Tamandua tetradactyla: one gene and its partners. The protein of the gene in region 1 interacts with the protein of each later gene in a pairwise test. Links are inferred from orthologs where the notes say so. Each region holds a gene or a part of one and is shown in the gene's direction. Other genes may lie near its edges.

Evidence for each region.
Region 2: the proteins of HSD17B14 (region 1) and NEK6 interact in binary tests that used the Homo sapiens proteins (3 or more experiments, as listed by UniProt). The two-hybrid records come from large-scale screens. The link is inferred for Tamandua tetradactyla from reciprocal best matches to the Homo sapiens genes HSD17B14 and NEK6.
Region 3: the proteins of HSD17B14 (region 1) and CDKN2D interact in binary tests that used the Homo sapiens proteins (3 or more experiments, as listed by UniProt). The two-hybrid records come from large-scale screens. The link is inferred for Tamandua tetradactyla from reciprocal best matches to the Homo sapiens genes HSD17B14 and CDKN2D.
Region 4: the proteins of HSD17B14 (region 1) and SNAPC3 interact in binary tests that used the Homo sapiens proteins (3 or more experiments, as listed by UniProt). The two-hybrid records come from large-scale screens. The link is inferred for Tamandua tetradactyla from reciprocal best matches to the Homo sapiens genes HSD17B14 and SNAPC3.

Annotation. Positions count from the first base shown.
Region 1 is NC_135342.1:12,212,924-12,220,219, forward strand, and holds the start of HSD17B14 (L-fucose dehydrogenase), read left to right. Parts: upstream 1-4,293; 5' UTR 4,294-4,482; coding exon 4,483-4,570; intron 4,571-5,004; coding exon 5,005-5,043; intron 5,044-5,120; coding exon 5,121-5,224; intron 5,225-5,714; coding exon 5,715-5,781; intron 5,782-7,296. Other genes in the region: PLEKHA4 (pleckstrin homology domain-containing family A member 4), read left to right, coding at 1,845-2,006, 2,800-2,867, 3,359-3,471, 3,761-4,020. UniProt on the Homo sapiens protein: Catalyzes the NAD(+)-dependent oxidation of L-fucose, yielding L-fucono-1,5-lactone, which rapidly converts spontaneously to L-fucone-1,4-lactone. Can also act on D-arabinose and L-galactose, with lower catalytic efficiency. Does not use NADPH.
Region 2 is NC_135328.1:46,339,716-46,347,092, forward strand, and holds the start of NEK6 (serine/threonine-protein kinase Nek6), read left to right. Parts: upstream 1-4,366; 5' UTR 4,367-4,756; coding exon 4,757-4,766; intron 4,767-7,377. UniProt on the Homo sapiens protein: Protein kinase which plays an important role in mitotic cell cycle progression. Required for chromosome segregation at metaphase-anaphase transition, robust mitotic spindle formation and cytokinesis.
Region 3 is NC_135337.1:91,278,839-91,285,367, forward strand, and holds CDKN2D (cyclin-dependent kinase 4 inhibitor D), read left to right. Parts: upstream 1-3,848; 5' UTR 3,849-4,024; coding exon 4,025-4,165; intron 4,166-5,075; coding exon 5,076-5,435; 3' UTR 5,436-6,015; downstream 6,016-6,529. Other genes in the region: AP1M2 (AP-1 complex subunit mu-2), read left to right, coding at 461-619, 1,139-1,264, 1,585-1,660, 2,070-2,092; protein KRI1 homolog, read left to right, coding at 6,453-6,529. UniProt on the Homo sapiens protein: Interacts strongly with CDK4 and CDK6 and inhibits them.
Region 4 is NC_135328.1:82,052,234-82,059,602, reverse strand, and holds the start of SNAPC3 (snRNA-activating protein complex subunit 3), read left to right. Parts: upstream 1-4,362; 5' UTR 4,363-4,411; coding exon 4,412-4,725; intron 4,726-5,430; coding exon 5,431-5,508; intron 5,509-7,369.

The DNA of each region.
Region 1 (7,296 bases):
TAACCAGGGCCAAGGAGCTGCCCCCTTTGTCTTTCCCCCTAAACTCTGAGATGTGGCCACTGTCAGAAGAAAGCCAGAATCCCTTTATTCGCTCAACAATGATTCCGAGACCTGGTGCTTGAGTTCCACGGGGAACAGAGGCACAAGTAGCATCCTCCTGCATATCAGCCAGGCGTGGGTGTATGGCAGCCAGACCCTGGCACTGTGAAATTTTCAAAGGACAGTTGAGCTGGATGAGAGAAAAGGTTTGCCCATGCAGAAAACGTATGTTCCTGGCAGAGGCGAGGAGGCGATGACCAGGAGGCCATCTCTCAGTATTGGAAACAAATCACTCAATTTATTAATTTTCTTGAGCAAAACAGAGAGGCAAACTCCTGTCACGTGGGACACAAGGTTAGATGGACTTCCGGGGGCAGAAGGCTTGGGAACAAGATTGGCCTTAAGGTGTACAAGCTGTGTCTGTTCCTGATTGGCTGGCGTTCAACAACGTAGATGGCCCTGATTGGTTGGCTGACAAAGCATGTGTTTACTCCTGATTGGCTGGTATTCTGAGGCATGTGTGGCCCCCTGATTGGCTGGCATTCAGAGGCGTGGTCAGGGTCGGATGTGATTTCTGGGTGAAACAGATTGAAAAATCATTTCCCGCGGTGTCTTATCGTGGAGACAGAGCAATCAGTCCTTTCCTAAACATACAGAAATTCTTTCATTCTCAATGGTCTCAATGGACGTGAATTGTCGGGGTGGCTCTGAACAACGCTTATTTGTGTTACGGGACAAAGTTTGTGGGTTCTTTTGCCCTTGTGTGCAAATGGCCAATTCCTGAGACATTGGGGTTTCTAAGAGAAAAAGAGTTTATTGCTAGGCACGTATCAGGAGAGCAGATGACCTAACTGACCTAAAAATCTGTCTCTCTGAACTGCAGTAATTCTGATAGTGTTAGAGTACCAAAGGACGGGCAGGTTTTCGGATGATGAGCACAAATGGCTCAAGATGATGGGGTTAGAGATGATCTAATTATTGAGCATGTGCAGACTGATTACATGCTTACCCACAGAACTTATATAAAAAATGGTGATCTTCATATACTGATGGGCGTGATTTTTAGTATTATAATGAGGCATAGGCCACAAATGGGTTAAAGTCTAAATTACTGTGCAATGTCGGGCAGGCCCATTTGGGGTAGATCCAGTCTCCGTTATCGAAATAACCTTGGGCTTGGGGTGGGTTAGTTCTGGGCTGACCCAAGACCTTTCATTAATAAACTTTAGGGGCTCTCTTTAGTGATCACAAAACTCTAAAGTAAAAAAATTAGATAAACGGGTACAAGTGAAGGTTAGTCATCAGGTTGTTTATGATCACAGGGGCACATTATCAGAGATCAAGGCAGCTGCTTTACAATTCAAAGATTTCAGGTATTTCCCTTTGTCTGCTCTAAAATGCCAGAAAGTAAAAAGGAGTATCTATATAATATAAATTCAGTAACCACAATCATCCCTTCAATCCTAACTTCTTGGTTACATTTGGGGAACTGCCCCTCTCTTCTCTCCAAGCCCATGGGATTGGGGGCTGGCCACGTCACACCAGTAGGGGATAAGCTGGGACGCCCTCCTTGCAGACAGCAGCAACCAGTGCTCTTCCCTCCTGTTTTGAGAATGAAGGAAACACTGAGGGCAAGCATGAGCTCGTCCAGTCATCTCAAGGCAGGTCCCCAAAGCTGTCCTGATAATTTAGTTAGCCAATAAGCCCTCTCCCCTCGTTTTGGTTGTGGGGGTCCTGGGGAGCCACGGGAGGGCTGTGAGCGGAGGAGGGGCAGCCGCATCTCTGGGCATTGCTCGCCTCCCCAGGGCCCCCTCGCCCGACCCCGCATGAGTGCCCAGGAGCAGCTGGAGCGCATGCGGAGACACCAGGAGCGTGGACGGCCCAGCCCTCGCCCCACCTCGCCCCGGCTCCTCACCCTGGGGAGGACGCTGTCCCCAGCCAGACGCCAGCCTGATGTGGAGCAAAGGGTGAGGGGAACGGGGTGGGGCAGTGGGGAGTGGGGTGATCGTGGGTGCCTCTGTGTCTGCTCTGAGCCACAGTTTCCCTCTCTGTAGAATGGGAATGCTCCCTACCCCCCTAGCCAGAACTGGGCTTCCAGATTCACCCCAACTTGTACCCGTGCTAAAGTCTGCCTTCTGGCTCCCCTCGGTGGAGTGAAAGTGGGGAGGAGACTGAAATAACAGCTCCACCTAAACCACATTCCCCCTTCAAGGTGGGGGTCTCCGGTCTGGATTCCAAGCCCAGCTTTTCTTCTCAGCTGCTATGAGTTGTCAAAGGGAGAAAAAAGAAAATCATCCAAATTAGGAAATTGATTTTATTTGGGCTGTTGCAATAGGGAGAGCACCCCAGATCCAAAGATGGGAGGGGCTCCATCGGCAGGGTGGTTTAACTTTAGACTTTTATAGGGATGTGAAGACAAGTTATAGGGGAAGTGATTCCACAGCTGTCAATCCTTCAGCTAAACAGGAAATGGTTATCTCTGTATCTAGCTAGCTTTGGGGGGCAGAAACAGTTCAGCGGATCGTTTACGAAATAAAGGATGGGGATTTGGAGGGGCAGTAGGGGGGGTCACTAGGAGTTCTAGCTAAGTCCTGTGGGGAAGGGAGCTGTTTCCAGGAACAGGAGTGGATGGGGGCCACCTTAACTCACCTCTTTTCCAGGGCTGCAAAAACAAAAAAAAAACACAATAAATTATAATTTTAAAAAGCCGGCCCCGATTTTCCACGTAAGGATAATTCTAACGACCCGATTCCTTCCCAGCCTGGCCTAGACTCCCTGGGACAGTCGGGAGCCTCGAAATGGCTCAGAAGCTCGGGGTCCTGGAGTAGGTGAGGAGTGGATGGTGGCGGCAAGGGAGCAGGGAAATTAATTTGCCAAAGGGGAAGGGAGTACCATCATTACTATTTTAAAATTATTTTTATTGTGGAAACATGCAAAATGACATTTCCCATTTTAACCACTGGCAAGTATACAATTCAGTGGCCTGTCATTAAGATGAAATTCTCCCGAGTACTGACATACAGGTGGCAGAATCTATTAAAGACGCAGAAGTTTCTGAGAGAAAATCAGAAAGCCCTGGCTCTCCGGTGAGAGCTGCAAACTTGTCCAAACTCCGTGGGTGGATTTCCCACCTTGCCCCTCCTTAGAGGAAATCGGCTTCAGTTTCGGACGCCTGGCTTAGAAATCCCCTAACCCACGCGTGGGACGCGCCCAGTTAAGGACCTGCAGAGACACATCTAGTGAAGCACCCGCGGGGAACTTCCGCTCCCACCACAGCGGCGAGTTGGACACGCACCCCCAAATCTCCCCTTTTTCCTAGTCCGAGGAACACCACCCCATACTTGCCCACGTCCGAAGGTCACCGGGAGCGGGTCCTCAGCCTGTCTCAAGCCCTGGCCACTGAGGCGTCACAGTGGCACAAAATGATGACAGGTGACGCGCTGGGGGCTGGGACCCCTGGGATTTAGGGAACAGGGAGTGGGAGGCCTGGAATCCTAGGTCCTATCGAGGAGGGGGCTGCGGGGAATGTTGTCTGGGTGAGGATATGGCCGGATCTTGAGAGTCCTAGGTCCCAGGCAGTGGTGGAGCTGGAGAGACCCCCGAGTGTAAGGGAGGAGGGGCTGGGGGGGCCTGGACTTGGGGGTCTGGGGGCGGAGGGGCTGGGGCCGGGACTCCTGGGTCGTAAGGTTTGCCATTCTCGTTCCCCACCCGTCCCCTCCAGGTGGAAACCTGGATGGTCCGGGAGAACCTCTTCCATCCCCGCCGCCGCCGTCGGACCCCACGCCGCGGCTGATGTCTCCCCCAAGCTCTCCTCCCGCGGCGACTTCCCGCCCGGCGGGGTCCAGGCGGCGGGGTGGTGGGCGCGGCGGAGGCCCCGCCCCCTGGGAGCCCACGTGGGCAGGCGAGGCCGCGCCCCCCGCCCTGGCGGCGGCTGAGGGGGCGTGGCCTCTGCGGGTCACTCTGCTGCAGTCGAGCTTCTGAGCCCCGGGACGCCCCAGCCAATCGTGGGGTGGGGGGCGCGGCCTGGTCCCCCCGCTGTGGTGTGGCCGGGAAGGGGGGCGGGCTCTGCACCCGGAGTCTGGTTTTCTCAGCACTGACCAAATTCGGAATAAAACTTTGAACTTTTGGTCAACAGTTTTCTTTCTATCTTTTTGGGGGTTTGGCGCAGGAGTGTCTGGAAAGCAAAGCTGGAGGCCGGGACCCCTGGGTCTGAGGGGGAGGTTCTGGGGGCCCGGACCCCCGGGTCTGAGGGGGAGGGGCTGGGGTCGCACTTCCGGGTTTCCACCTTTCCGGCACCGCCCCCGAGGCCGGCCCGCGCGGATCCAGCCCCTGTTTAGCACTTGACCCGACGCCCCCCAGCTCCTCCCCGGATTCTGGGGTTGGAAGGGGGCCCAGAGTGAGGGACAGAGCGAGGGACGCAGCGAGACGGACAGTTGGGCCGGGATGGCCGCGGGCGCGCGCTACGCGGGGAAGGTGGTGGTGGTGAGCGGGGGCGCGCGCGGCATCGGCGCGGGGGTCGTGCGGGCCTTTGGTGAGTTGGGGGCTCGTGGGCTTTTGGGGCCTGGGGCTAAAGGTGTGGGAAGGGGGCCTCCAAGCCCGGCCTGAGGACCCGCATCCAGTCTCCATGGCTAAGGACAGGGTGCCGGCGGTCGCCTGGGGCCAGAGGTTTTGGCGGGGTGTTCAAAAGTTAGTTGGCCCTTCTCGGGGTCTCAGTTATGGTAGCTACAAATGGGTGGCTCGGGGAAGATGGGTTGCCCAGCCTTGGGGTTTACTCTGGAACCCAGGGGTGGAGGAAAGGAGCCAAGGCCTCGCCATGCTAGGGCCTCTGCCCTTTGTCCTTTGGGATCACGAGGAAAACACACGGGGGTGGGGGGGGGTTCTGCCCCACTGCAGGTGGCCTCAGGGGAGCAGCAGAGGCCATTGCCAAGGTACAGGCAGGTAATCAGTTGACTTTTCTATTCTCAGTGGAGAGTGGAGCCCAAGTGGTCATCTGTGACAAGGATGGTGAGGGACCCTCCGCCCTTGCCCCAGCCTTCCTCCCTCCCTCAGACCCCCGGGTCCCCCAGCCCCTTCTCCCTCAGACCCGGGGGGTCTCCCTGCAGAGTCCTGTGGCCGGGCCCTGGAGCAGGAGCTGCCTGGAACTGTATTTATTCGCTGTGATGTGACTCGGGAGGAAGACATGGCGGTAAGCCTGATTCCTGCCCCTGCTTCCTGTCGCTAGCGGCTACCATCTCATTTTCATGTCTTTCTCCACGAGGCTGAGGCTGTGGCAAAGCTGTCTCCTCTTCCTTCCCTCCTCTCCTCATTAAATTCCCCAAGGCATCAGCCCAATGTCATTTGCCCCTCCAGGCTCCACTGATTCTGCTGATGTCTCTCTGGAAAGTTCTCTTTTATTTCCGTCTTCTCCAGGGCTCTTATCACAGTTATCAGCTGCGTGGAAGTGACTAAGTCCCTCACAGTGAAGGAATTCCGTAACAATGTTTCCTCCCCCACCCCTCTCTCTGGGTCTCTGCCCCCTCTCCCTGGGTTTCCGTCCCCTCCTTTTTGTCCCTGGACTGACGATGGAAGTCTGCGTTGAACAGTCCGTTGGTATCTGACAGCCCTGGCGCCCCCTCACCGCCAGCTGTGGGGAGCTCCCTGGCCCCCGGCCTCTCACAGGACACCTTTCCCCACAGACCCTGGTTGGCGAGACCATCTGCCGCTTTGGCCGCCTGGACTGTGTGGTTAACAACGCTGGCCACCGTGAGTTGTGAGGTTGGGCCTTCCCCAGTGCCAGCCAACCTGCCGCCCTTCTATCGCCTCCTGTGCCTCTGTTTCCCCTTTCCCTGCCCCTCCTTCTCTCTATCCATGCTGGTAGAACAATGCAGCTATGGGATTCCCCAGGCCTGGACGCAAATCCTGGCTGTGTTCATCCCTGCTGTGTGCCCCCAGGCCCGTGTCTTCACTTCTCTGTGCCTCAGTTTCCATATCTCTACAATGAGGACAATAGTAATAATCATAAGTGTTTCCTTATAGGGTTGGTGTGAGTACTGAATGAGACCCAGCCTTGAGCCTGCCCCACTTACATTCCATCACCACTGTAGCTGCTCCCTGCCTTGTAGCTTCAGTCTGCCCATCTGTGAAGTGAGGCCCATGGCCTTTCTCTTAGCTGATGACAGCAAGGCTGCCCCGTGGTGCATGGTTTATAGGACTTGGTAAGGTGGCTTCGAAGGGAAATTACCACTGACTTCATGACTGGCCTTTGTAGGAATGCCTCAGTGTGGTAAACCGGGGCTCAGAGAGGTGACCTGGCTGGCCTGGCATCTCCCTTGTCAGCTGGGCAACTTTGAGCAAGTGACTCACCCTCTCTGGGCTGTATCTTCCTCCTCACGTTGTTGTAAGGGTTTAAAGAGATGGCGGTTGCTACTTTGTCCTTTCTGCGTCCCTTATCCCTTCTACAAATACATATTGAGCAACTACAAATACAGTACATAGATCTCTATGTACGTACATATGTACATCTCTGTGTCTCTATTGACAGAGAGGACAGGAACATGACAAAGTGGTGGCAACTGATGCCATGAGACAACTTCCTATCCCTGGGCTTTGCTTCTATCTCCCTGCCCCATCCTTCCGTTTGGCCCCTAACGTTGTCTTCAGATGACTCAGTTTCCTTCTTTTCCCACTTCTTATCTTTCCCATCATCCTCTATCCCCCCCCCCCCACCTGTTTGTCTTCTGGCTGTTGGTTTTTCTATCTCTCTTCCCATAGTTCCCAGATTCCTCCTATTTATTTAACCAACATGGTTGCAGTACAAACTGTCAGGTACAAATATTGACCCAGGAAATTTCTAAGCCCAAGGCCTAGATGTTACCCTCATGGAGTAGGTGTGGAAATTGAAGCAAAGAGAGGGGAAGTGCCAACCCAAGTCCCGCAGCCAGAAAGTGTCAGGGCTGGGGTTCTAGTTTGCTAGCTGCCGGAATGCAACACACCAGAGATGAATTGGCTGCTAATGAAAGGGGATTTATTTCGTGAAAAACGTGTCGTTCTTCAGAGGAAAGGCAGCTAACTTTCAACTCAGGTTCTTTCTTATGTGGGAAGGCACAGGGTGATCTCTGCTGGCCTTCTCTCCAGGCCTCTGGGTTCCAACAACTTTCCCCTGGGTGATTCCTTTCTGCATCTCCAAAGGCCTGGGCTGAGCTGCGAGTGCTGAGATGAGGTATGCTGAGCTGCTTGGGCTGTGCTACGTTGAGCTCTCTCATTTTAAACACCAGCTGA
Region 2 (7,377 bases), on another chromosome or scaffold:
CAGAGGTGAGATTCTTGTTGTTGTTTTTTTTTTGGCATGGGCAGACACCGGGAATCTAACCCGGGTCTCTGGCATGGCAGGCGAGAACTCTGCCTGTTGAGCCATCGTGGCCCGCCCCAGAGTTGAGATTCTTAACCTCAAACCAAGTCTGGCTGTATTTGTCCAGCCTTTCACCTCTCCTGTGCTGAAAAGCCAAATGGGTTAAGGCATGCCAGGTCTCTACAGGGCTGATTGCCCCCTCCCGAAGGCGCTGCTCTCCTTCCTTGTCCACTCTTAGACCTCTGGTACAGATGACCAGGCCAGAGCTATCAGCTAGAAAGGGCTGTGGTTTACATTTTTATTTCCTTTCAGTGTGCCAAGGATCCGTTTCATAAGGGAAGTGTCAAAACAATTGTCAAAAAGAGAAAAATATTCCCTTCCTTTTCTTGGGACAGGACAAGCAAAGACCTTAGAGGGTGGAGAGAGGAGTCCCCAGATGGGCCATCTGGGCTCAAGTAGAGGTTGGCTCCTCTAGGTTTGTGTGTGTGGTGAAAGCAAACACTGCTCAGAGGAAGGGCCCAGAGTTCTGACCCCGAGGATAAAAGTTCTCTCCAAAGGGTCTGATGCTCAAATCTGAGTAGCTGAAAACATGATCATTTTTACATAGGCCTCTTGTCACTTGTCATTTCAGTCGGATAACTGTCTCTTTTATTCATGTTTCCATTTAGATCACGGTTTATACTTCACTGAACTTGAAAGGAATGCTTGTGTTTGTGTGTGAGCACCTGTGTGGTTTGGGTTGTGTTGTGCCTCTGCAAGTTTCCTTTGGTGTTGAAAGGAAAAGGTATTTCTCTCCCTTCCAAGCATGTTCTGCAAATTGATGAACATTTGCAAATTGCTTTGAGATGCGTTAATTTAAGGTGTGAAATAATAGATCTTGTGCAAAGGCTCAGCCACATTTCTGGCATTGATGGATTTCTCTTCCGTCTGGTCTGTGATTTGGGGTGGTAAAAATAGTCCTTGCTTCCACATTTTTATCGGTTTTTTTTTTTTTTTTTTTTTTTGCTGACATCATTCTTAGGAAGTAGTGCACACATGCCATACAGAACTTTCCTAGGCCATCGTATCTGGCAGCAGTGGGAACACAGAGCTCTGGGAGCAAGGGTGCTTCTTGGAGAGAAGGCAGTCATTGGGGTGGTCTAGGTGCCTCCTGGGTGTCTGTGAAATTGCTTTAAAATGAGCGGGCAGTGGGTAGTTAGACTTGGCCGCCAACCAGGGGCAGACTGTGGGGGCCTTAGTGGCTCCTTGATTTGTGGCTATCTTTTCATTTCCGACTTTTGGGTAGTGGCAAGATAGCTTTTTGGGAAAATTTAGCTTAAAAAGAGAAAATTAGGCCAGTGACTTCACCCCTTGCCATCTGAGTTGAGTGGCGCCCACACCGCTCAGTGTCTTCCTTTGGCCAAACCTGAGAAGTGGCGATCTCAGGCTTGACTCCCAGACAGAGAAGCCGACTTTGGGGCAGATCAGTCGATGGTGTAATTTCCTGTGACGTTAAATAGGGGAACTTGAAATTGGAATGTGATCTAGCATTTTGACATCTGTCTCTCTAATGGGATTTGCTTGTATGGAAACAGACCCACATACACAGGCCCCAGGTTAGTTCCAGGCTGGCACTGTTGTCTCCAATTCTGGATTTTTCCACAGGCGCCTTCTCGGGTGGTCTGGTTGCAAAGGCACCAGACTTCTAGCCAAGCCTCCTTGGCATCCACTGGTAGGATCCTAGCATCCCACGAAACCCGGCTCACCCCCCGAGCTGACTCCATATGGGAGGTGAATGAGGGGAGGTGATTGGAGTTGAAAGGTGGCGCGACTGGCCGTGATCCGAAATGCATTCGGTTCCAACTGTCTTGATTCACATGGAGCCGTTCTTTCTTTTAGACATCTGCGTGATGGTGACCTCATAGAAAAAGAGAAAGAGGGCTTTATGCAAGAATTCCATAGAGTGTGAAGGAATTCTGACAAGGGAGGGGAGGGGAGTAGCTGCTGGGAGCCTGCAGTGCTGCATTTTACCCTCGTTGTTGGACCCTGAGGCTGGGGGTGGGGGGCAGGGGGTGCTGTGAGGAAGGGGGGGCAATGCTCGACCCCAAGGAACAGAAATCCATTGAAGAACTCCCCTGTGCCCAAGTCGTAGCTGAGGTGCCGAGGTTAGTCTCTCAGATATAACGTCCCTGCGGGCGAGCAGCAGGGCTGGGATTGTTCACGCTGCCTTTCCCCAGAGCCTGCCCTCTTTCGTCCCTGATTGTCCACAAGGTCTTTGAAACTGGGAATTATTGGGAAGTGATCTGCAAGTAGATAATACTTTAAAAGGCTCTTCAGCCCTGATCATGCCTGCTGCCAACGGGGAACTCAGTAGGCTGTCAGTGCAGAGGAGAGCATGCTCCAGGAGCACTGGGCTCGAGAGGGACCCGTGGCATTTCAGCGGACTGGGATGGACAGGCTATGGGAGTTGGACAGATTCTCGGCCAAATGGAAACTGAGGCCCAGAGAGGGGAGGACTCGCAACCACAATCAAAGCTTGAAGACAAGCTTTGAGTTCCAGACCTGACATTTCTGAGCAAGTCACTTTAGCTCTCTGGGCCTCACTCCCCTCATCTGGAAAACAGGGTTGGGATGATGACCTGCTAAGACTTGGGGGAGAATGCAATGAAAATAATGCTCAGGAAGTGCTCAACATGTGGGTGGCACCTGGGAGGCGCTTGAGGGTCACCCCTGGAGGTTTTAATTACCAAGGACTTGCCCAGAGTCACACAGGCAGGAAGAATGTGCCCCGAGGGTTTGCAGTGCCCTTGCCCAGGGCTGAGAGGAGGTGTTGGTGCCCGCCCCGCCCCGCCCCCAGCCGGGTGCTGCTGAAGCTCTTTTCTATGCCCATGACTCCCAAATGGGGTGGAAGGAGACAGGTTGGAGAGAGGCAAGATTTACATGTCAGGATGGCCCTGAGGTGTCTCAGGAAACAGGTATTGTGCTTTCCTCCCCTCCCAGCCCCACGTGGTGAGGAAAGCGAGCCTTCAGACGTTTTTGGTGCCGCCTCTCGGAGTTGGGAGAGTCTCGGGAGGCCACGAGAGCTGCGCCAGCCGTGGTGTTTTATTAAGCGAGGCAGGTGTTTTGTTAATTATTTACACAGCGTTGGCCCCATCCGTGGTCTGTGCTGACAGCAGCGGCTGTCACAGACTCGGGCGACGGGGCAGCCAATTCCTGGTCAGAAGTGAGCACGAGACTCCCTTCCCCCAGGAGCCCCCATCGGCCAGGCCTGAGGGGGTCTGTGTGTGCCCTGCGCCCCCTCCTGAGTCATTTGGGGTTCCCTCAACCGGCTGGTTTTCCCCGAGGAAGAGAAGAGAGATCCTTGGCCTTCGGAAGGGGCCGCCCTTCCTGCGGCAGCCCCTGCTGGAACTGTGCCCGGCTCTTTAGACGGGTATCGCACCTGAGACCCCGCCCCGGTTGGTGTACTGGGGAGAGGGCGCCGGAGGCTCCGGGGGGGCTCAGAATCCAGTGTCTCCCCCTCCCCCGCCGGGCGAATGTGTCTGGAAAAACGCAGGAGTGACCCCAGGCTCGTGGCCCTTGATTCTCAGGCACAGTTCGGCATGATTTGCCTTAAAAATCAAACTTGACGATGAGAAATCTGAAAAGAATGGGGCCTGGGGTCACAGTCTTCCCTGCAAGGCCCCTACGAATACGGCCAAGTGCTTCTCCTGTTACCTGTTTTACATAAGGAGGTTTTGCATAGGAGTTAATTTAAGAAAAGGTTCTGATGCCTAAAAAAAGAAAAGTATGAAAGCCTCTCCGTTTACACGTGGAGATACTGAGGCCCAGAGAGAGGCGGCGGCAAGGCCTGTGTGCCTTGTGGTTGGAGTCCTGCCACGCTGGTCCTTCAGGCCGAGTGGACTCCAGTTGGTTAACCAGACACGCCTGTGCTGGCTGGAATGTGGCGCATCACATACGCGTTTGTTCGTTCGTTCATTCATTCATTCATGAAATGTGTTCCAACGTTTTGGGTCTGGCTTTGTGTCGGGAGCCGGCAAAGCTGTGCCTTGGCCTCTCCCTGCTGGGTGGGAACAGAGTTTGGGTCATGCCCACCTCGGAGGTGTTTGTGAACAATTTGCAGCAGTCGTCTCTGGGGAAACGGGGGGGGGGGCATGGCTTCCAAGAGTGAGGGGCATCTGAGCCAGCCTAGAGGGAGATGTGAGGTGTGCTGGGCAGGGAGAGGGCACGGGCGTGTCCCAGGCAGGGCGTTTGGAAGCTGGGAGGCCTGAGAGGGCTGGGGTGCAGGGTGAGTGGGTGAGTGGGGAGGTGTGGGACAGGGCACGGGGTTCAGGACGAGGGCCCTGCGCTGCGGACAGGCCTGGGACACTGTGAAGCCAGGAACCTCCTGCTGCCTCGTCAGCCTTTAGTCCCTTCAGCAGCTCCTCCGTGGGTACCAGGTGCCAGGTGCTATTCTGACCCCTTTCCATGGATTCACGCCCTTCATCCTCCCGGCGGTTCTGTGGGGTAGGAACTGTCATGCCCGATTTATAGACGAGGAAACAGATGCAGAGTCCAGGGTTCGTGGTGCTTAATTGCCTTCAGCGTAAGTGCTGTGAGGAAACCTGCAGCGTGCGGGTCTGGCAGAGGAGGGCAGCGGCTGGAAGGACCTCCGGAAGGACCGATTAGGCCAGGAGCTAGCACAGGGGATGGCCAGTCGCACACCTGGAAGAGGACCTCCCAGGTGGCCGGAAGGAATAGCATGTGGGAAGGTACCATTGCTGGGAGCGTCAATTGTTTATCTGGTGCCTGAGAAAGGGCCAGGGAGGCTCAGCCACAAAAAACACCGGCGATCGGCAGGAGGGGAGGCTGCTGAGGCCCTCAGGCTCTGGGCAAGGTTTGGTCTTTAAGAGGTGGGGCCCTGCTGCTTCTCCAGCTTCACTTCTCAGTAGTTTCCCCCTGGCTCACTCTGTGCCAACAACTCTAGCTGCCTTTCCTTTCCTCAGACATACCAAACATACTCCACCTCAGGACCTTTGCACTTACCATCCCCTTTTTCTGAAATTCTTTTCCCCTGATATTCACATGACTTTCTTCTAGACTTCATGCAAGGCTCTGCAACATCACTTCTCCAGAGAGACGCTGTCATCCTCTCCCTATTAGTCAGCCCCTCTTGTCCCTTCACTCTCTATTCCCTGGGTAGGCTTTAGTTTTCTTCATGGCGCTTACCTTTCCCTGACATCATATATGTGTTATTGGCCTCCCAGACTGAAAGTAAGCTTCCTGAGGACAGGGACTTGAAATGTGCCCAGATCATGCTTGGCATACAGTAGGTGCTCAGTATTTATTGGGCAAATGGGAAGTTTTATGTGGGCAAGTGGCAGGATCCTTGGAGAATGTTTATATGGAGTTAACTAATCAGTTAGCAGGCTTTGCTGGCAGCAACGGCCCCTCCACCCTCCTCCCTCCTCCTACTGTTCATTGAGTAACTGGGTTGCACCCAACTGACCCTCCTCGATGAAGAGGAAGTTTCTAGAGAAAGGACTCAACTGCAAATTGCTCCAAGTAGGAGGAACTTGGTTGCCAAAACGTAACCCAGAAGGGCTTGCACATGCCAGAGTTATATGGGTCTCCTTCCTTTGCTGCTTTTCTGCAGAAGTAGCTGCTGAATGTCTATGGAGGGGCTTGGGGAATGGGTACCAGGGTTCATATCTTAAAGCTGCATTTTTGTGTGGAGCATGCTTTTTGTTTAAAGAATACATCTTTTGTATAATTGCTTTGAGAAGGCAAGGGGCTAATCCTTCCAAGCCACCTCTGTTTGGCAAATGAACTGGTCCAGCAAACAGGGAATCCCAGGATTGAAAGAGAGAATAGTTCTCCAGCTGGTATGGTCTTGGCGGGCCACCGGGGTGGGTGTCCAGATGGCGGGACCACTGGGCACCACACGGCAGGCAGACAGGGAGCCGGGGAGAGGGATCCCACACCCTGGGTTTGATGGGTCCGGTGAGCCCGGCTGCATTTGGTTACAGCGGAATCACAAGTGTGGACTTGGCATTCCCAGCCCTGTGTCTGTGTGTGCATTTCCTTTGTTTGCTTCCCCCAGGAATTTCAGTGGCCTTTGTGTTTGTTTTAAATGCCAACCTCCTCCTCAGCTAGCCGAAGAGGAAATGAGGACTGGGTTTTTGTCTGGGCAGAGACTGTAACAAGGGTGGGGACCGCCTTAGAGCCAGCCTGATGGTGACAGGGCAGCATTTGGGAAGCATTCTGCGGTTTGTCCTGAGGGGTGACAGGCTCAGAGAGTGCTGGACTGGGCGCTGGGGTCACTGATGAGTAAGACTCGTGCCCAGTTTTCACGGCGCGTCAGCACGAAGCTGCCGAGCACCACTTTAGGACCAGCCTCCGTGCTGGCCTCTGGGAGAAACACACAGGAATCAACGCGGTCCCTTACTCACCTTCCTGGGGAAACATGAACAGAAAATACTTAGACTCCAAGCCATAGATAGTTTTCATTTGAGCATGCTTTTGTGGTATCCCGTGTCTTCAGCTATCAGTCATCCAGAGGGTAGGCACATGGTGACCACGGTTTACAAACTCCCAGATGGACAGTGCTCTGTAAAAGTGCTGCGGTGCCGTTTGGGGGCGGGAGAGGCGGTTCGAAACCCTTCTTCGGTCGCTGGTGTGTGAGAAGCTCCTGATAACATGAAGTGCTTGTGGGGCGGCATCTTTGAAATTGCGCAGTGCTGAAAATTCGGGGACATTTGGTCGCTGTGATGTGCTAATGTTAGCAATCGAGATATGTAATTACCCAGAAAACACCCTTTTCCTACCCGCTAAGGGTAACTGGAGAGACTTGATTTCTCCGAAGGAGTTTCTTACACAGTGTAATTTGGGTCAGCAGACAGGGACTCATTATCCCTCATTAATTTTTTAGCTAATTAAGCGATTTATCTGGTCACGCGTTTATTCCTTCAATCGCTGTTCATCCATCAGTGTTTCCCGAATGCCTCGTAAGTGCCTGACCGGTTCTAGGCACTGGGGATTTAATGAAACAGGAGAGAAAATATCACCGCATCCCCCATGTGTGCCCAGCCCTGTGCCAGCCTGTGGTGTGGGGCAGCAGGGTACGGATGAATTAATTCATTTCTCGGTGCACATTTACTGAGTACCTACTATGCACAGACCCCTGGAGATGCAGAAATGAACCATGGCACAGACCCTAAGGGCTTGAACCCTCGCCCCGTTGTGATGGGGTCTTTTGGTCCCCACCCTCTGCTTTCTGTCATAAGCCCCCATTCACGGGCCACGTGATGGCGTCTCGGAAATGAACCGGGAACCATCCAGATGCCCCAGGAGCCGACGTGAGAACAAGCATCCCCTTCACAC
Region 3 (6,529 bases), on another chromosome or scaffold:
TGGGCAAAGTGCTCTTTCTCTCTGTGCCTCAGTTTCCTCACTTGTAAAATGGGCCTTGGGGATGATTCTTACCTTAGTGAATGGGTGTTCGACTCAGAAGCGGGCACACAGGAGGGGCCCAGGAGAGTCCAGCTTCAAACAAAAACTCCTTTTTGATGGACCCATTTTTGGAGCGGTGTTATTTTTGAACCAGGCAAAGGTGGTTGGCACCGTCCCAATGGAAAGTGCTAAGAGCCGAACCTCCAGAGTCCAGAAGCAACCGTGCCCCTTATGGGCTGGGCGTCTTGGGGTGGATGCCTTACCTTCTCTGTGCCTCGGTTTCCTCATTTGTCAAAGGGGCAAAATAATGCCTCCCCCACCCCAAACTCAGGCTGGGTGGTGCGTGAAGGGCTTGGCGAATGCTGACTGGACGCAGGAGTGAGTCCCCGGTGCCCCACACTCTCCCCGCCACCCCCGACAGGCCAAGGGACAGTTTAAGAAGCAGTCGGTGGCTAACAGCGTGGAGGTCTCGGTGCCTGTCCCCAGTGATGCTGACTCCCCGCGCTTCAAGACCAGCGTGGGCAGCGCCAAATACGTGCCGGAGAAGAATGTTGTGATCTGGAGCATCAAATCCTTCCCGGTTAGCACTGGGCGCAGGCGGGGATTCTGGGGTGGGGGTGGGGGTACCTGACCCCAAAGAAGAGAATCATGGGGCCCCACACGCACCGTCGTCCTTTAGGGGTGCCAAAGGTGGAAACCAGGCCAGCCTGGTGCATCTCAAGGAAACCCAGCTCTGGGTTCGAATCCCAGGCCCTTGCCTCTCGGAGCTGGTGGGATTGAGAAACCCACATCCCCTACCCCCGCCCTTCCCCGTGGAACCTCAGTTTGCCCAGCTGTGAAGCAGGAGTGTAACACCCCCCTCCCCCCTCAAGCCACTGGAGGACTTGGCCTGTCCCCAGCACATCTGGGGTGTCATGGTCCCCGATAAGGTTTGGGGGGCTCAGAAGCAGTGGTTTTGAGTCTCGGCCAGGGGCCTTTGGTTCCTTGTCTGTAAAATGGCCCAGAAGACACCCCTGCTCCAAGCATCGTTTCCATGGGGAGTGGGACTGGGAGCGTGGGGGAGGCCCCCGGACTGTCTCATGTCCTCGTGTGCCCGCAGGGCGGCAAGGAGTACCTGATGCGGGCCCACTTCGGCCTCCCCAGCGTGGAGAAGGAAGAGGTGGAGGGCCGGCCCCCCATCGGGGTCAAGTTCGAGATCCCCTACTTCACGGTCTCTGGGATCCAGGTGGGGTGTGGGCAGGAAGCTGCCTCTCCTCCATGCCGGCAGGTCCCCCTCTGTCCTGCTTCTTGACCCAGGCCACCTCCCATTCCCTGGCTGGAGTCACCTCTCCCCTGCCTGCCATGCCTCCCCCCGCTCTCTGCCTGGGTCCCCTCTCCTCTGCCTCTCCCTTTAGCCTGTCCCAACTACTCCCCCCTATACACACACTCTCTCTCTCTCTCTCACACACACACACACAGCTTGTTCATTTCTCTCTCTCCCTCTCCCACAAGCTGTCCCTCCCCATCCTCTTAGCCACTGCCAACTCTTTTCCTCTTCCCTTCCAGGTCCGATACATGAAGATCATTGAGAAAAGCGGCTACCAGGCCCTGCCCTGGGTACGCTACATCACCCAGAGTGGTGGTAAGGCAGCCTCGCGCCCTGCGGGGGTGGGGGGGAGTGGGGTCAAAGAGATGGGGGGACCCTGACCATCATCTGGCTCAGAAGCACTCCCAAACCCAACAGGCCTGCCCCTCCTTGTCACCCAGCCACCCGGCCTTGCCCACCTTCAAAACAGCAGCAACTGCTGCCCTGGGGGGCCGTGGGGAGCAGGCCAAGGGCTGGGTACACAGCATCTCATCCGTTTCCAGGAGACAGGCATGGTTACCCTTCCTGCCTTTGGCTCCATGCTTGGCCTGGTGACACACAGAGGGGTGGGGTAGTTTTGGCTCAGGAGCGCTGGGGCAGGGAATGGAATTGGGGGCTGCCTCTCTGTCTCCCCCCCTCCCAAATTCTGAGATGGTCTCTGCCCATCATTTCCTGTTTCCTGCAGATTATCAACTTCGGACCACCTAGAAGGAGAAGAGATGATGGGGCTTGGATATTGGAGAGGGGGAGGGGGGCCTCCCCCTCTCCAGGCTGGAAATTTTAGAGGGAGGGAGAGCCCAGAGGGGAAGGGGCAGGACGGTGAGGGCAGGCCCCTGACTTGGCAGTTTTTTGATCCCAGTACCTGGCCCCCTTCCTTTACCCATGGGCTGGCAGGGATGTTCTCCCTGCCCCCCAATGCTTGGGGTGACCCCCGATTTTATATGAAGAAATAGGGAAGGGGCTCGACACCCCCCCCTCACGAGTGCCTTCTTTCAGTGACCTGCCTTAGGGGGTGTCGGGAGCCCCTCCATCAGCTGCTGAGCCCAGAGGCCCCGCTGGCCCATTCCTCTGAATTTTAGGATGTCATTAAAAAAGAGTCTACCAAAAAAATTTTTAAAAGGTGTCTAGCCACTGCCGGTGTACTTCCTGGGCGGTGGGTGGGGTAGGGGTGGAGTAGGGACTGGGCTGCCAAGAACGGCCCCGGGACATTGAGATGGGAAGTGGGCAGCTGACATACACACCCGAGCTCCCCCACCCGCCTGCTGCCGGGGACCAGTGCCGCAGTTTCCACGCGGGTTCGCGGGTCCCGCAGTTCCCCCCCCTTCCGGAGTGTGTTCCCCTCCCCAATCCCATGATCGCCACAGACCGCCTAAGTCAGATCACGCTCCTCTGCGCCGAATCCTCCCACGGTTCCCACCCGGGTAAAAGTAAAAGTCAAGTCCTCGCCGCAGCCCACAAGCCCTGATCTGCCCTGCCGCCTCCTGGCTCTCCCCTTCGCCCACTTTCCCCACTTCGCTGTTCCTGCACGTGCCAGACTCGCTCCCGTCGGTCGTTCTCTCGGCCTGGGGATGCCTTTTCCGAGAAAGCCACATGGCTCCCTCCCTAGAGGGAGGCCGCTAGAGAAACGTCACCTTCTCTGGGAAGCCCTCCGTGACCTCCCTGTTTCAACGCTCTTCCTTTCCCAAGGAACCACCACTTATTTGTCCTGTTTTATCAGCTTCCCAGCTTTCACCACTCAGAGAAGACTGCGTTATTGCCCTTTCCCCCATGCGCAGGGCCCATTTGGGCGACAGTGCACGGCAGGAGCTCGGTAAATGTTTGCACGCTTGCAGGCTGAAACGATTTGGTTCCAGTGTTGGAATGCGCGCCCCGGAACAGCGCCTGCACGGACTGCGGTGAATGAATGAAACCCAAGCGCTCAGCGCATGGGAAGGGCCAACGCACGCTGATCGCGGGGCAACGGAGCGGAATTCTGGACTGGGCGGCCCCCGCCCTGCTTCCCTCCCTCCTCTGCCCGGGCCTCGCTCCCCCGGGTCGGTTAAACCCGCCCGCCTTCCCGCCCGCCGCGCGCGTTTGAAAACCGAAAACCCCGCCAGGGCCGGCGGCCCACCGGTCGCCGCGTCCGGGCCAATCAGGAGCCCTCGAAGCCGCCCCGGCGACGCGCGGCTATTGGTTGCGCGGGCCTCGTGGGCGGAGCAAGGAGAGGGTCACGCGCCGGGCAGGCGGTGCCTGGCTACAATGTAACGAGTTGGTAGGACGACAAATGGGCGCGCTCGAGGGGCGGTGCCTGGGCCTGGCTCCGCCCCCCGTGGCGGGCGCGGCGGCGGCGGCGGCGGCGGCGGCGCAGAACAGACCCCGCCCGTCGCGGAGGAGGGAGGGTGAGCTGGGGGGACCCGGCCCCCAAGGGGCGGGCGGCGGAGGGCTGGGCCCGGCTCGCGGCCCCTCGCCGGCGGCCGGCTGACGGGGCGGGGAGGAGCCGGGCTGGGAGGGCGGAGGTCGCCCCGGGGCGCCCCCTAGGACGGCCGGGCCGGGGCCGGGCCCGGCCGCTCGAGCTGGGAGGGCTTTTCGGTCGGCGGCCTCGCCCGCACTGACGCGCTGCTGGGGGGACCGCGGGGGGTCCCGCAGGCCGCCGGTGTCGACATGCTGCTGGAGGAGGTCCGCGCAGGCGACCGGCTCAGCGGGGCCGCGGCCCGCGGCGACGTGCAGGAGGTGCGCCGCCTTCTGCACCGCGAGCTGGTGCATCCCGACGCCCTGAACCGCTTCGGCAAGACGGCGCTGCAGGTGAGGCCGGCGGGCCCGCGGCGGGGGAGGGGCGCGGCTGCGGACCGGGACCCCGAGCCCTCCCCTCCGCTCCCCTGGGCCCGGAGGGGCCGGACTGGGGACCGGCTCCCCTTCTCTGCCCCGACGATGTTCGCCGAGGTCGCCTTTCGCGGGAGGATGGTGGATGGGGTGAGGTTGGGGGGAGGAGGGGGAGTCCCTGGTTTCCGGGGGGCGGGGGGTTCAGTTTTCCCAGTCGGGAGGACCTGATACTTAGGATCCGGGTTTCATGAGGATGGTTCAGGTTTCTTGGGGTTCTCCGTGCAATGGGGGTGGGGCCGGGGTCCTTGGAAAAAGGGTTTCATGCTTCCTGGGGGTTCTCAGAGAGGTCTCCGGTTACTTGGAGAATCTCACTTTACTGGGTGGTGTGCAGGTTCCCTGGTAGGTCATGTGGGGAAGGGAGTCCCAGTGGGAAAACAATTTCAGACTGCATGAGTGTCCCTAACTCCCTGGGGAGCATTTTATGGGGGGGGGTGTCTCAGGTATTCTGGAGAGCACCTCATTATCTGGGAAGTATTCCCTGGAGAAGTGGTTTTCAATCCCCCAGTGAGCATCCCGTTCCCTTTGAGCATCCCGTTCCCTTTGAGGGAGCCACCAAATACTTTGGGGGGCTGTCCCCATTCTCTGGGGGCCCATCTTCTGGGAGAGGTTTCATATTTCCTGGTGATTTCCCATTTTGGGGGAGATGGGAGCTCTGGTTCCTTGGGGGAGGGACTTAGGCTCCCTGAAAGTGTCGGGGGTGTGGGGCTACCCCCTGGGGGAGGATGTCTTGGACCCCCAGAAGTCCTTTTTTTCCAGGGGTCTCAAACAAGTCCCAGGGGCCTCGTGCTCCTGGTGTTTCTCCGGGCCCCCCTGACCCTTTGCCCTCACACAGGTCATGATGTTCGGCAGCCCCACTATTGCCCTGGAGCTGCTGAAGCAAGGAGCCAGCCCCAATGTCCAGGACGCCTCCGGCACCACGCCAGCCCACGACGCAGCCCGCACAGGATTCCTGGACACCCTGAAGGTCCTAGTGGACCACGGCGCCGATGTCAACGCACCCGACGCCACCGGATCCCTCCCCATCCATCTGGCCGTGAGGGAGGGCCACGCAGCTGTGGTCCACTTCCTGGCAGCCGAGTCCGATCTCCGTCACCGGGACGCCGGGGGCCTCACGCCCATGGAGCTGGCGCGGCAGAGGGGGTCTCAGGAGATCACGGACATCCTGCAGGGCCACTCCGTGACCCCACTGTGACTCCGGGAGGCCGGCTCCAACCACAGGAGCCCAACGGGTTCCTAGGGAAAGAGGAGGGAAGAGATACCTTCTCCCCTCACTCCTCTCCTCCAGTACTGAACGGGGAGGGGCACCAGTTTGTGGCTTGTTGTTGATTTCTGGGGTGTGTGTTTTTTGGGGGGGCATTTCTCGTTGGTTTTTCTCACCCCCTTTGGTGTGTTGGACAGAGAGGGGCTCCTACATACAACAGCTACCTAAACGGTTGTTTCCTCCGCGCCCCGGGCTGGCGGCGCTGTGGACCAGCCCCTGAGTGAGGCTGCGGCCAGGTCTGAGCCACCTGTGCCCAGAGAGAGCCCTGAAGTATGCTCCCTGCTTTGGCCATTGGGGAGGGGGGAGTGTTCCAGATCAGTAGAAGGGTGGCAGGAGGTTCATTTATATTGTGTTGGGGGCCTGTTTTCCAGTGTCCTGTACAGTGTTTAAAAAAAAATTCTATTTATTAAGCTTTATGAAAGAAAATGTTGCGTGTGATAATTTAATGTTTTTATCCATTAAATTAAGACTTGAGCATGATCTCAAATTAAAACTTGAGCTTCTGATTTCCGAGTCTGGTGTGGGGAATCGCGCGTCCAGTGAGGGGGTAGGATCGGGGTGGGGGGCCGGTCGCCGATCGCCCGGAGGCTTCGGGGAAGGGGTGACAGCGATAATTCCCAGGGCACCAGGGATGGGGCGGGAGCTGGGTGGGGCCGCGGTTTGCACTGTCGGAACGGAAGGGAGGCAGGAAACCGCGAGTGGAGAAAGGGCCCCCAGATGTCAGCTGGGTGCCCGGAGCTCCGGGGCGGGCGTGGGCGGCGGCCGCGTCCTTCCCCGTAGGGGTGGGGCCTTCGGCAAGGGGCGGGGAGGGGTGGGGAATCCCGGAAATAGCCGGGGGCGGGGCCGGAGCGGGCGCGTCCTTTAAACGGCGCGGGGGGCGGGGCCGAGCGCGACCCAGCCCCCTTCCTGCGCCCCGCCACGCGCGTGCGCATTGGGCTGCCGACCGCCATGCCGGGCCCGCGCGCGGCGTCGCCGTTGCGGGTGAACGCGGCGTTCGCCGCGCGGTACGGCCGCTACCGGGAGCG
Region 4 (7,369 bases), on another chromosome or scaffold:
AAAAACTAAAGGACAAATACTGTATGGTCCCACTGATGTGAACGGACATTCGAGAATAAACTTGGAATATGTCATTGGTAACAGAGTCCAGCAGGAGTTAGAAACAGGGTAAGATAATGGGTAATTGGAGCTGAAGGGATACAGACTGTGCAACAGGACTAGATACAAAAACTCAAAAACGGACAGCACAATAATACCTAATTGTAAAGTAATCATGTTAAAACACTGAATGAAGCTGCATCTGAGCTATAGGGTTTTTTTTTTTTTTTTTACTATTATTACTACTTTTATTTCTTTTCTCTATATTAACATTTTATATCTTTTTCTGTTGTGTTGCTAGTTCCTCTAAACCGATGCAAATGTACTAAGAAACGATGATCATGCATCTATGTGATGATGTTAAGAATTACTGAGTGCATATGTAGAACGGTATGATTTCTAAATGTTGTGTTAATTTCTTTTTTTTTCTTTCTCTCCGTTAATAAAAAAAAAAAAAATCTCTGATTTGTTGCCCTTCTTCTTTTTTAATGTTGGTACTGAGAGCTATAAATTTACCTTTCAGCACTGACTTTACTGCATCACATAAGTTTTTATGTGTTGTATTTTCATTTGCCTCAAAATATTTCCTAATCTCCCTTGTGATTTTTTCCTTGATCCATTGGTTGTTTAAAAGCATGTTGTTTCATTTCCACATATTTGTGAATTTCCACTTCTTCCTCTATTTTTGATATCTAGCTTCATTCCATTGTGGTTAAGGAAGATATATTGCATGATTTCAAAACTTTTTAATTTATTGTTTTGAAATAAACAATATAGACTTGTTGTGTGATCTATAAAATGGTCTATCCTGGAGAATGATCCATGTACACTAGAGAAAAATGTGTATTCTGCTGCTATTTGGTGAAGTTTTTCATATATGTCTTTTAGGTCTAGTTGGTTTAGAATATCATTCAAGTCTTCTATTTCCTTATTGATCTACTGTCTAGATGCTCTATCTATTATTGAAAGTGGTGTACTGAATTCTCCTACTATTAATGTAGAGCCATCTATTTGTCCCTTCAAGTCTGTCAACGTTTGCTTCATGTATTGTGGGTCTCTGCTGTTATGCGCATATATAGTTAAAACTGTTATGTCTTCTTGACCCCTTTAGCAGTATATAATGACCTTATTTGTCTGTCCCTTGTAGCAATTTTTTATTTAAAATCTGCTTTATCTGATAGTAGTGTAGTTAGCCCATATCATTTTTGGTTGCTACTTGTACAGTATATATTTTTCCATTCCTCCACTTTCAACCTACTTATGTCTTTGAATTTAAAGTGAGCTTCTTGTAAACAGGATGTAGTTGGGTGATGCTTTTTTTTCATCCATTCTGCCAATCTCTGCTTTTGACTGAAAAGTTTAACTCATTTATATTTAAGGTAACCACTAATAATGCAGGAGTTCACCTACCATATTGCTATTTTGTCTTCATAAGCCTTATACATTTTTTGTCCCTCACTTCTGTTAAGGCCTACTCTTAAATTTATTTGCTTTCTTGTATTATACCATATTGAGTGCCTTCTCATTTCTTTCTGAATATATTTTCATATATTTTCTTTGTGGGTACCATGGGGCTAAAATTTAACCTCTTAAATTATTAATAATCATATTTGACTTCATACCAACTTAACTTCAATACACTGATGGAACTTCATACATTGATCTTATACCCTTCCGCACCCCCACCTCTTTTATACTTGTTGCAAAATATATATTTATACATTGTATATCCAAAACAATAGATTTATCATTACTTTGTATACATTTGCATTTTAGCACTTGTAAGAAGTAACTGGAGTTACATACTAAAAAGTACAGTAGTACTGATATGCATAATTACCCATATGCTACCTTTACCATAGCTCTTTATATGTTAACGTCATTTTGATCACTGACTAATGTACTTTCATTTCAATCTGAAGAACTCCCTTTAGCATTGTCTTTAGGATAAATCTAGTGGTAATGAACTACATCACCTTTTCTTTATCTGGAAATGTCCTAATCTCTCTTTCTTTCTTTTTTTTTTTTGTATGCTGTATGGTAGGGTCGCATTTCATTCTTTTTCCATGTGACTATCCCGTTATTGCAGAACCGTTTGTTGAATTTTTGTTGTTGCTGTTGTTGTTGGTTTCTTTGTTTTGGGAAGTGCATGGGCTGGGAATCAAACCCAGGTCTCCCACATGGTAGGCGAGAATTCTACCACTGAACCACCTTTGCATACCCTCTCCCTCATTTAAAAAAAAAATTTTTTTTAAACATAACATATAAAAACTAACATTCTTACCATATGATCATTCCATTCTTGGTATATAATCAATAATTTACAATATCGTCACATAGTTGTATATTCATCACCATGATCCTTTCTTAGAACATTTGCATCAATTCAGAAAAGAAATAAAAAGTAAAAAGAAAAAAAAAATTAAATATACCATACCCCTTACCCCTCTCTCTCATTGATTGCTAGTATTTCCATGTGCTTAATATATTTTAGCCTTTGTTTCACCTATTTTTTCTATACCTCTTATCACTCCCTTTCATTGATCACTACCATAATAATCCACTAAATTTATTTTAACATTTGTTCCCCCTATTATTTATTTATTTTTAATCCATATGCTTAACTCATCTGTCCATGCCATAGATAAAAGGAGCATTAGACACAAGGTTTTCACAATCACATAGTCACATTGCGAAAGCTATACCGTTATACAATCATCTTCAAGCAATATGGCTACTGGAACACAGCTCTACATTTTCAGGCACTTTCCTCCAGCCTCTCCATTATACCTTAACTAAAAAGGTGATATCTGTATAATGCATAAGAATAACCTCCAGGATAACCTCTCAACTCTGTTTGAAATCTCTCAGCCATTGACACTATTTTGTCTCATTTCTCGCTTCCCCCTTATGGTCTAGAAAGTTTTATCAGTCCCTTGATGCTGAGTCACAGCTCATTCTAGGATTTCTGTCCCACATTGCTAAGAAGGTTTATACCCCTGGGAGTCATGTCCCACGTAGAGAGGGCGAGGGCAATGAGTTTGCTTGTCACCTTGGCTGCTCTCCCTCATTTTGAAGTCTTGCCAAATACAAAATTCCTCATTGGCAATTGTGTTCTTTTCAGCACTTTAAATATTTCATTCTGATGTGTTTTTCCACAATGGTTTCTAGTGAGAAATTGGCACTTATTGGGATTCGCGTGTATGTAATTTTCCTTTCAGATTTTGGAACTTTCTCCTTGTCCTTGGCATTGGACAATTTGATTACTATAGTTCTCAGCTTGGGTGTCTGAGTTTACCCTGTTTAGGCTTCACTGTGATTCTTAAGTGTGTGCACTCAAGTCTTTTGTTACATTTCGGAAGTTTTCTGCCATTATCTCTTTGATTATTCCCTCTGCCAGTCACAAAAGGCCCCACATTACATGATTTCTTTATATTATGGTCCAGAATTGGTAAATCTATAGAGACAGAAAGTAGATTAGTAGTTGCTTGGGGCTGGGGAGAAATGGGGCCATTAGGCCATTTTAGCTCAAGGACAGAGTTTCTTTATGCTGTTGATGAAAATATTCTAAAATTGATTGTGGTGACATTCGCACAATTCTGAGTAGAGGAAAAATTGAACACTTTAAATGGGTGAATTGTGTGGTATTTGAAAGTATCGCAGTTAAACTGTTACCCTTGGCCCTCCCCCCAAGGTAACAATAAGAAGAAAATCAGGCTCCTTCTGTGTGTCTTGCTACTTACATTCTTTGGGGCCTCTGAGAGATGGAGAAAGCTCCATCTGAAGCTAGCGATTGTGTTTCAATTCAGTTTTAAACACTTGTGCGTGTGTACAGTAACGCATAAATATATATATGTACATAGCAACTTGGGGCCTTTGGGTAAATTCTAAAGGAACCAGATCTGGAGGGATGTTCGTATCTCGGCCCTCGCTCAGCCTTCATTCCTCTTGTCTCTCAGTCTCTGTGGCACGGACACAGCAGCGTAACCCGGAAACCCCGGAATCGAGGAAAAGTCCCTGAACCCACAGGAAAGCAACAGGGCTGCCAATAAAAACAAAGAGTAGGGCCAAAGTGTTTGGTGAGGCCACAGCACCGAACACAAGGAATCGCCCCCTAGGCTGCTCAGCCCCACCCGCCCGGTCCCAAGAGGCGAAAAGCCACGCCGGGGGCCTACACCGCCCATCGCCGAGAACAATGCGTTCAGCCCAGCGCATAGGCTCGACCCGCAGGTTGTCGGGAAATGTAGTGTCTGATGCCAGAGGCATGCTGCGTCGACACTCGCCCACCAGCAGCCATGCGAAACTACAAGTCCCATCATGCTCCGCGAGATCCTTATTGCCCAGCTTTTGCAGGGAAGGGAGCTTAGCCAACATGGCTGAGGGCAATAGGAGCATCCAAACGTGCAGTGGGGTGAACGGCAGGCAGGATCCTGTCCCCAGTAGTGGCGGCTTCAACTTTCCAGAGTACGAGGTTCCCGAGCTTAACACTCGTGTCTTCCACGTGGGCGCCTTCGGGGAGTTATGGCGCGGCCGGCTGCGCGGGGCCGGGGACTTGTCGCTGAAGGAGCCGCCGGCGTCTATGCCGGGGCGCCGAGGGGGCGCAGACTCTGGCCGAGAGGACGTCGTGGTGGCCCGGGATCTGGGCTGCAGCCTTGCAGCGGCGGCCGAGCTGAGAGCTGTTTGTGGGTGAGTTAGGGCCCAGGGCATTTTGCTGTTTAGGGGCCAGGTGGGGTGCAATCTTACTCGGATCCACCCCTGGGAAGGTTCAGACCCCTGGAGTAGGAGGACCGCTGTTTTAGAAGATTTCAGTCGGCCGGAGCGTCTGGTTAGACTCACCCAGAAAGGTCCTGTGATTCCAACGTACAATATCTGCGAGTTGGGGTGAAGGAGCGAGAGAGCTGCATAAAAGATTAATTTTTCTATTAGCTAATTTTTAAAATGCTTCTTAATAAAGAAAAACTGGGGACAACGAAGTGTACCTGCCATTGACAGTTTGATAATGAAGGAACCTGAGCAATGGTGAAGCTGAAGAAGACCTAATCCGAGGAGTGTTAAAACCTTGATTAATTCTTGTATCTTTTGGAGGCCTGCGGCTCTGCCGTTACTCATTTTTTTTTTTTAAGTACCTTATTAGGGGGTGAAAACACAACAATAACTTTTAACGGTCTTTCGCCATATGAAAGTATTGACTGCTTTCCATCGGTCATATATCCTTTCATTACTGAGTATCGGCATAAAAATCATTTCCTTGATTTGGCCTCTGCTCTGAACCGCCTGATGGATTTTATCTGATATCTTTGTTATTCATTTATATATTTAGGACATAACCCTGACTTCCTATAGTCAGTCTTAAAGTGATTGTTTATCCTTTCTGGTTTTTTTTTTTTTAAGCCTTGATAAACTGAAGTGTCTTGAGGAAGACGGGGATCCAGAAGTCATCCCAGATGATACTGACTTGGTGACTTTGGGGTATGTAAGACTTTGCTTTTTTTTTTATGCTATTTATTTTTAAAAATTTTTTTTAACATCATACTATGAAAAGTTGAAAGTCTAATATCATCATCCATATACCCATCCCTTAAATTCAACCATTGTTAACATTTGGCCATATTTGCTCTAGCTGTATGTGTATGTGATGCCTGCTGTGTGTCTTTTTCTTTTGCTGAACCATTCAGTAAATCATGGCCATCACATACTTTACCCCTAAATACATCAGCATATAGCTCCTAAGAATATTCATTCTTCTGCATAATTAGAGTGGTATTCTTACGCCTTAAAAAATTGGCAATCAGTACATAACCTCGAATATCAGTCCATATTCAGATTTGTATTTGTTTTTCATTATGTGTTCACAAAGGTACAGTTAATTTCCTAGGTAGTTTAAGAAGCAGTCTAAATACTCTGACAGTATGCCTCAAGTTGTCTGTGGTAAAGGACCATCTCTGGTTTTTTGTTCTTTTTTTAATTTTCAATCTTTAGCAGATACATATTTTTGTAAAGTGCTGTAAAAATGAATTACTAGAAAAATGGAGTAAAAAAGACAATATAAATCTAATAATAATAATCTAAAATTCCTGTCAAATTTTTACAAAAATTTATAAATGTTTACTCTCATTTTTCGTGCACTTTGGATAATAAACAGTCAATACCTGTCTGCCAGCCATGTTTGAGAAGCACTGTTTTGTGATAATAATGCTGTAGAGGAATTGTGTTTGTAATAGTGGAATTTATAATTCCCAGTTTATAGCCTACTTATTCCAGACCATCTCAACTAATGTTCTGTCATCTTGGATAAAACCTGTTTTTTCTACCTCAAATATACAGACAGTCACTTCAGTTCTACCTTGTTTTGTTTTGTAATAACTGCCAGATCTGTTCCTCTTGATCCTCATTGCTAATTTACATTGGCAACACTTGGAGAACTAGAAAAGCGCCTATGGGTTGTCCAGTCTTTTCTCCTCATTTATTCATCATACTATCACCTGAGTATGCTCATTTGCTTAGACATTTTCTGTGACTCTAACTCCCCTCTATGGACAAATTTCAAACTTCTTAGCCAGATATTCAGACCCTTCCCTTTATAGCCCAAATCTGCTTTTCCAGATTGCTTTTCAGTCACTTTTTCTTTTGAATGGCTAAGGAGGCATGTGACCCCTCCCCCATCTGAAACCCACCTCATCTTTTAAGACCCTAGGATTCTTTTTCACTTTACCTCTGCTCACCTCTGTCCCTTAGGGTATAGATGCATTTATTCTGCCTTGAGCTATTCTAACATTTCTAAAGTCCTTGAAGGTTCATGGAGACTCCAGATTTTCTCGTCTGTATATTGTCCTTAAGCCTACTGTGCTACTTTGATCCAGTTGGCACGCTGTAACTATTGTTGATTATTAGTTGGGTTTTTCTAAAATGCACATTTGATTGTGTCATTCCTTTGTTTAAAACCCTTCAAAGACCCTTAGGCTAAAGTTCTGAATCCTTTAAGTGACTCAGAAAGCAGAATGAAACTTGCTGACCTTTTCAGCTTTATCTCTGAGGTGTTCCAGCCACATTGTCCTGTTTTTCATTTCCTGGAATGTGCTCTCTCACTCTTGGCCTTTCCCTGGAACACTCACTCTTCCTTAAACCCCCGGCCATGTTGATTTCTATTCATCCTTTGAATCTTAGCCGAAAGACTAAATACTCCATTTAGGTACCCTCATATAGCACATTATACTTATCTATTCAAATACTCATCGTTTTATTATAATATACTTGTTTAAATTTTTGTCTTCCTAGTTAGACTTGAAAGATCTGTAAGCTTTATCTCACATTCATTCCTATATCCTCAGTT